2 linked regions of the Caenorhabditis elegans genome follow. The protein of the gene in region 2 purifies or fractionates together with the protein of the main gene of each other region. This does not show direct contact. Each region holds a gene or a part of one and is shown on either strand. Other genes may lie near its edges.

Region 1 (3,755 bases), 6.7 Mb from region 2:
GGCTTTGATCCTATTCTAAGCAGATATGTTATTCACTCAAGCCTAATAACCAGGTTTGAGGGCCGCAGGCCCGAATACTGTTGAAAACTGTGGGCTGGCTTTAATCCTATTCTAAGCAGAGCAGGCTGTAGGCCTGCGACGCGGTTGTTATTTACTCAAACCTAACAACCAGGTTCGAGGGCCGCAGGCCCGAACACTCTTGGAAACTATGGGCTGGCTTTGATCCTATTCTAAGCAGATATGTTATTCACTCAAGCCTAATAACCAGGTTTGAGGTCCGCAGGCCCGAATACTCTTGAAAACTGTGGGCTGGCTTTAATCCTATTCTAAGCAGAGCAGGCTGTAGGCCTGCGACGCGGTTGTTATTTACTCAAACCTAACAACCAGGTTTGAGGGCCGCAGGCCCGAATACTCTTAAAAAATTGTGGGCTGGCTTTAATCCTATTCTAAGCAGAGCAGGCTGTAGGCCTGCGACGCGGTTGTTATTTACTCAAACCTAACAACCAGGTTTGAGGGCCGCAGGCCCGAATACTCTTAAAAAATTGTGGGCTGGCTTTAATCCTATTCCAAGCAGAGCAGGCCGTATTCATGAGTTTTCCTTTTCCTTCACCGTTTTTTGTAGTTCACAGTGATGATTGAAAACACGCTTATTTTATTGAATACATTCAAATTATTCTTGAACAAAATCTCAGCCTAAGTTATTCGTACAGTGTCGGTCCTGGAGCAATGAATCAAAGTTTAAAGAGATTTCACTTTACACAGTAAGAGCTTCGAGGCGAAGCCTCAAACCTGAATAGTCAAGTTTTCTAAACATATACCCACTCCTAAAATAATTTCAAAGAGATCTCGAATATCCCGTTAACAGGTTCGAGGCGAAGCCGAGAACCTGCGCCAGCTACCTTGCTAATAACTTAGAGCGAATTAACCCTATCCCCATTCCCGAAGGGCTGGCGGGCCCATAGGCCCGCTAGTCGACAAATTAAGCAAATCGGCAGATTGCCGGTGTGCCGGAAATTTTCAATTCCGGCTGTATGCCAGTCTACCGATTTTCCGGACAATTTCATTTTCGGCAAAATGCCGATTAGCCGTTTGCCGGACATCAATTTACCGGAAGTGGCCAAAGGGATTTTTGAAATAAAAACAGATGTAGGAACATTCATAGGATGCCTACAATTTTCCCGATTAAAATTGAAATTTAAAAATTTCCAAGAAAAAATTTCGGGAATTTGCCGATTTGTCAAAAAAAAACCCCACCCCTTACTCAAATTTTTGCAATAGAATTATTTCAAATGTATAATGTTTTTATTGTCTATACTTCTGAGTGAATCGGAAACTAAACTCTTATTAGCTGTTTTTTCTTTCTCTTAATCCTGCGTCTCATTGTTCATGAATTGTGGATATTTTTATTTATAAACATTCTTGGTATACTTTTTTCATTGATTTTGAATAATAGTTGAACATAAAAAAACTGCTCAATTAAAGTACCAAAGTAACATTCATACGCTCCGAAGAACATGCACCTATGCACTTTGGACTTTATAGTGACTACACTGTTGCCATGTGGTCATTTACCTGCGTTACACCATCTGCGTCTCGCACTCTCTTACCACAACACTCTGCCAACACAACAAAGTGCCACACCTGACGACAGTCTGCGGACCATCGATCCCCCCCCCCCCCCCCCCTCCCCATATCTCGCATTCATTTCTCTTGAGTACACCACCCCATTTTCGCAGTTCTCTGGTTCTTTCTGTTTGATCTCTATTAATCTCATATTCTTCTAAATCATTGGCAGTTTTTCCCAAAACAGTATCAAAAGCGTGCCATCCTTATCACCTCCGTGACTTTCTTATCCATACCCAACAACAAGTAGTCTCCGCCCAAGCGGGCCAATTCTCCATCTCTCTCTCTCTCTCTTTACCTTCACAAAACATTTTTCTCTTGATGATAGCAGCAGACGCCACATACACCGTGTGTGTTCCAATTTTTTGTTGTTGTCTTTTCCTCAATTACTAGGATTATCGATTTTTCATAGCAAACTCTCAATAAAGTTTTTTTCAGAAAATGCTCTCCAGAAACTTGACGAAATGCACGCGTCTGTTCAGCACCACAAACAAGGCCATGTCAACCGGCATGGACTTCCAGTTGACCGCTGACCAAGCAGAGTTCCGTGCAAATGTTCGCAAGTTTGTTGCCGATGAGGTCATCCCAGTTGCCGGCGAATACGACAAAACCATGGAGTACCCGTGGGAGATCATCAAGAAGGCTCATGCACAGGGATATCTGATCGCCGACATTCCAGAAGCTTATGGAGGACTTGGAGTTGATATGGTCTCGAATTGTATCATCAGTGAGGAGATGGCATATGGATGCTCGGGTATTGCTACCGCTATCATGGCTAATGATCTTGCACTGACCCCGCTCATTTTATGTGCCAATGATGATATCAAGAAGAGATTCCTTGGTAGAATGATCGACAATCCGTTTGTGGCGGTAAGTATTTTCGAAATATACTTGAGTTCTTACGGTAAATAACACCTAATCAATTTTGTTTTAGTCCTACGCCGTCACCGAGCCAGGAGCTGGATCCGACGTCGCCGGAGTCAAAACCAAGTGTGAGAAGAAGGGTGATGAGTATATTCTCAACGGCTCAAAGATGTGGATCACAAACGCCGGACATGCTAACTGGTGAGTGAGTTCCACGTGGTGAGGATCTACGTCATTGTAAAGTCGGGCAGACTACAATGATTGGTCGACTACACAAAACTTGGACTTTGTACCGCTAGACGTGGAAATGAGAGAGAGAGAGAGAGAAATGGAATAGAGAAAGAAAGAATGCGACAGGAAGATGAAGAACCCTCGTTTTTCTTATCAAAACGTGTACTTATAATCAACAGGTCAAAGTGCAATGATTCTAGGAGACGCGAGAAAAAAGGTCTACCGTAGATATTGTTATGGGCCACTGTAAATCCATAAATATGCTGAATGGAGCATTCTGGAAAAATCTATCTGAAAATAAAATATTTTGTCGCTAAAAAATTCACAACATTCCTACGCTCTTTTTTCAGGTTCTTCGTGCTTGCCCGTTCCGACCCAGACCCAAAGACCGCAGCAGGAAAAGCCTTCACCGCATTTGTCGTTGAAGGGGACACCCCAGGACTCACCAGAGGACGCAAGGAGATCAACATGGGACAACGATGTTCAGACACCCGTGGTATTACCTTCGAAGACGTCCGTGTTCCAGCCGCCAACGTCGTCGGAGCCCCAGGAGAGGGATTCAAGGTCGCCATGAAGACATTCGACAAAACCCGGCCAACTGTTGCAGCACTTGCCACCGGAGTTGCTTACCGCTGCTTGGACGTCGCCACACAGTATTCTCTGGAGAGAAAAGCGTTTGGAACGCAAATTGCCAACCATCAAGGAGTGTCGTTCTTGCTTGCCGAGATGGCCATCAATTGTGAGCTCGCTAGATTGATGACCTACAAGAGTGGTGCAGAGGTAGGTCAAGCAGAATCAAATCAAGCTTTTTGAAGGATAAAATGTTTATGTTAAAATGGGAGGCGCCCCGTAAATTTACAAGTCCGCAAACACCATGACGCATTTGATGCAGCAGGCAGAACATCACAGTGATGTACATAGGAATATGAGCATAAAATCGGTACTATTATAGGAAATTACAAAACGCTATACGAACTTCAAATGCTGATTAAACTTAGAAAAGATTGGTCAGCACGCTAATTGCCAGCCATTTTCTG
Region 2 (3,755 bases):
TGATAATGTTATCTTCAATTGATTTCTACTTCTGAGCTACGGCGATACGAGGACGCATTCTCAACGATAATGTTGCCATTTTGTCCTGATAATTTTTTTACTGATTGTTTCAGAACACCCATAGTTTTTCTCTATTAAACGTTCATCCTTGACTTCCCCGAGTTTGCTGGCTGAATAGGAAATTTGAAGACAAAAAGGAAAGAATCGGCTCAAACGTCATGCAACTGATAAGGCGACCGTACTTCATTTCAAAAGAAGCTCACTTACTGAGCGCAAACATTGAGAAATGAGAGCAAAAGAAGTGGTTTTACAACATGCTAATGTTTTTAGACCTTGTACCCAATAATATTACTGTAGTATACAGTTCGGAGAGCATATGGTTGAAATCTTGAAATACCAATTTATCACTAGTTTGATTGTGTTATCGATGTATAAAGATATATTTTATCATTTTTGATTATTATCTGATATTGTGGGGTGTGAAGTAATATTATGTGCGTGTGTGGCTGATTATCGAAAAAAACTGAAAATTATCAATTTTTCTACAGGTTATCTTTTTTTGTTTTATTTTTCATTATTGTATTCTTCATACTCCTTATCCTGCCCGAATCACAAAAGTTCCAGACAACTTGAAGGTCGCATCACGTTTTGTTTATAAGAATGTTGAACTGGTCAGCTTTGGAGACAGAACTGTCCTCCAAATGTTGAATATGTTTCCGTAAAACACACTGTGTAACAAAAAGCGTACCCTTTGATCCGGTATTCTTGAAAAAAAACATAGAAGGGCGTACTTTTCATATCTCACAAATATGCGTTTTTTATTTTATAATAATATCATTTATTGATAATTATATGTATTTGTATGTTTTCTTGTCTTTAAAATTATGGTGTGACATCACAGTTTAAAAATTATATGAAAACTAATGAGTGAAAAGTTAAAAATGTATAGTTTGCCGTATTTTCTCCATTAGTATTGTATTCAAAACTTATTTCCAATTGGTGAGCACTATAAACTTTGTAGGGTAATTGAGGTTCAATACTAATTTTTGAATATCTAGCTTTTGACAAATTATTCAAGTTTTGACAATGATGCCTTATCAAATTAAAAAAAATTACCATAAATTCTTGAAAGCTTTTGATTTTGTTTCACTCTGTGAAGGATAGTAATTTATCAACATTTTAACTAGATACATCTGTTCTGGCAATAAATTAAAGCAAGACTATTACTATGTGCAGTATTAATAGCTGCATTGCAACTTGTTTGAAAGTTTCAGTGAAAACGCAAAAACTCAATTTAATTTTCAAGTTTGTTTGCAAAATTGGATATATGTATCCATCAAAAGTCTGATCGCCTGTTTTATCTACTTATTGTCTCCTCAGTTGATTTTTTTGTAGTTATTATAAACGCTACTTTGAAACCAATATTTTCTTCCTCATTCCACTTTTTTCAATTACCAACTACCGTACATGCAATGATGGGCGGACCCGAGTCCCATGTTTGGCTGGAAGTGGGTGGTTGTCTGCGTATATGAGCGACAGAGGTCGGGGCTGAAACTGATAAGAATAGTCGACACTAACGCCATAATCGCTAGCCAGCCATCATGCACACCGAGCTCGGTGTGCACACCATCTTTCTTTTCAAACCAATACGCTTTGTGCCTTCATTGACAATTTTCTTTTTGATAAAATCAGCCTATCTATACTTCCCAATCATTTTTAGTCTTATCGTTGAACAGCTATCGAGGTGCCACTGTTTTCACTGATATCTTCTAAGTTACTATGGCATTAACATCTTTGTGTTCTTATTTTATGGGTTATTTTAATTAATTTTTGCAGTTAATTTTTGGAATGAGCAAGAAAATGTTAATTGTAATATCTTCGTCTGAAAATTGTCTTCAAATAGTTTTAATTTTAAAGGCAGTATTTAAGAAAATACACTTCTCGAAGCATTTTTGAATTTTTGAATTTTTAAACTGCTTGATGTTTTAGGTGCCACTGTTTTCATTGATAAGTTTTGATGTATAAATGCTTGATTTTCTTGGCATTCTAATAAAATAGAAACTAGAAAATAGATTATAGAATGGATAATAACTACAATGATAATGTCAACGGCTGGGCCGAAATGGAACCATCTCAACCAATGGGAGGTCTGCGCCTACCAACTCAGAACATGGATCCACCAGAGCAAAATAATGAGTCACAATTGAGTGAACTACCGAGAAGTAAACAAAACACTGAAATGCTTGTGGATTATAAAATTATAAAATTTCAGTGAAAATTGATAATGATTACGCATCTCCAATTGAACGGCAAAGTGTTATCACAAGTGGCACAAATAACTATGAGCCGAAAGTGGAAACTGTTACATCATGTAAGTGTGAATTCAAGTTATTTGGATTAATTCTTCCTTTTAGTTTTCCATACTGGCATAGACTACTCAAACTTTGGAATGTTGGACCAAACTACCATGCAACCGTTTTATCCTCTTTACAGTGGAATTCCCGTAAACACTCTTGGAACTTTTTCGGGATATACAAACTCGTAAGTCATGTTTTCAAGTTCTTACTTTCATATTCAAACTTTAGCATATACGACAAACCCTCTCTGTACGACCCCAGTATTCCTACCATTAACATCCCTTCTACTTATCCAACTGTGGCTCCAACTTACGAATGCGTCAAATGCTCACAAAGTTGTGGGGCCGGGATGAAGGCAGTAAACGGAGGGTAAGCTAGAAAAATTTCGATGACTCAATAAACTACCGGATTAATATGTGCCTGTACACTGTTTGGAAATAAACTACAACGAATAATTTTCTAGAATGATGTGCGTCAACTGTTCAACACCAAAAACCACGTATTCTCCTCCAGTCGCGTATAGCACTTCTTTGGGACAACCCCCGATTCTGGAAATACCTTCAGAGCAGCCAACTGCTAAAATTGCCAAGCAATCCTCTAAAAAGTCAAGTAGCTCAAATAGGGGGTCAAACGTAAGTTAAAGTTCGTTTGCAACAGTGTACAACAAATCAATACAGGGATCTGCGTCCCGTCGGCAGGGACTTGTGTGCTCCAATTGCAATGGTACCAACACAACTCTCTGGAGAAGAAATGCTGAAGGAGATCCGGTCTGCAAGTGAGTTTTTTTTTTTTTTTTTTTTTTCTAATGGTTTGTTTTTCAGTGCTTGCGGGCTTTACTTCAAACTCCATCACATCCCTCGGCCGACCTCAATGAAGAAAGAAGGTGCTTTACAGACAAGAAAGAGAAAATCAAAAAGCGGAGACTCTTCCACACCATCAACGTCACGGGCCCGAGAAAGGAAGTTTGAGAGAGCCTCTTCTTCGACCGAAAAGGCTCAAAGGTCATCTAACCGGCGTGCGGGAAGTGCAAAAGCAGACCGAGAACTGAGCACTGCTGCCGTCGCAGCTGCGACTGCCACATATGTGTCACATGCCGACTTGTATCCCGTTTCCTCAGCTGCCGTCACCTTGCCAGATCAAACGTACAGTAATTACTATCAATGGAACACTGCCGCTACAGCTGGGTTGATGATGGGTACGTGATCAACTTTTATAAAATGAAAACTACTAACCTTGAAATAGTACTTAAAGTATGGTATTAATGGTGGATAGCGTTAATTACAACAAAAACATAACTTCATAATATTGCATTCAAGCCCTCTAAGATATTCAAGCTTTTCAAAGTTTATTTTATTTCAGTTCCAAACGATCAAAACTACGTGTATGCAGCAACAAACT

Evidence for each region.
Region 1: the proteins of elt-2 (region 2) and acdh-7 purify together in Caenorhabditis elegans (affinity purification with mass spectrometry, with the first as the bait; one large-scale study listed by BioGRID). This does not show direct contact.

What each region holds. Positions count from the first base shown.
Region 1 is NC_003284.9:17,215,412-17,219,166, reverse strand, and holds the start of acdh-7 (Medium-chain specific acyl-CoA dehydrogenase, mitochondrial), read left to right. Parts: upstream 1-2,061; 5' UTR 2,062-2,064; coding exon 2,065-2,493; intron 2,494-2,557; coding exon 2,558-2,688; intron 2,689-3,068; coding exon 3,069-3,498; intron 3,499-3,755.
Region 2 is NC_003284.9:10,479,161-10,482,915, forward strand, and holds the start of elt-2 (Transcription factor elt-2), read left to right. Parts: upstream 1-2,079; 5' UTR 2,080-2,080; coding exon 2,081-2,222; intron 2,223-2,272; coding exon 2,273-2,371; intron 2,372-2,414; coding exon 2,415-2,541; intron 2,542-2,585; coding exon 2,586-2,726; intron 2,727-2,820; coding exon 2,821-2,989; intron 2,990-3,034; coding exon 3,035-3,132; intron 3,133-3,178; coding exon 3,179-3,552; intron 3,553-3,716; coding exon 3,717-3,755. UniProt on the Caenorhabditis elegans protein: Transcriptional activator that binds to the consensus sequence 5'-[AT]GATA[AG]-3'. Predominantly directs the transcription of intestinal genes such as ges-1, cpr-6, pho-1, ftn-1, vit-2 and lev-11, and itself.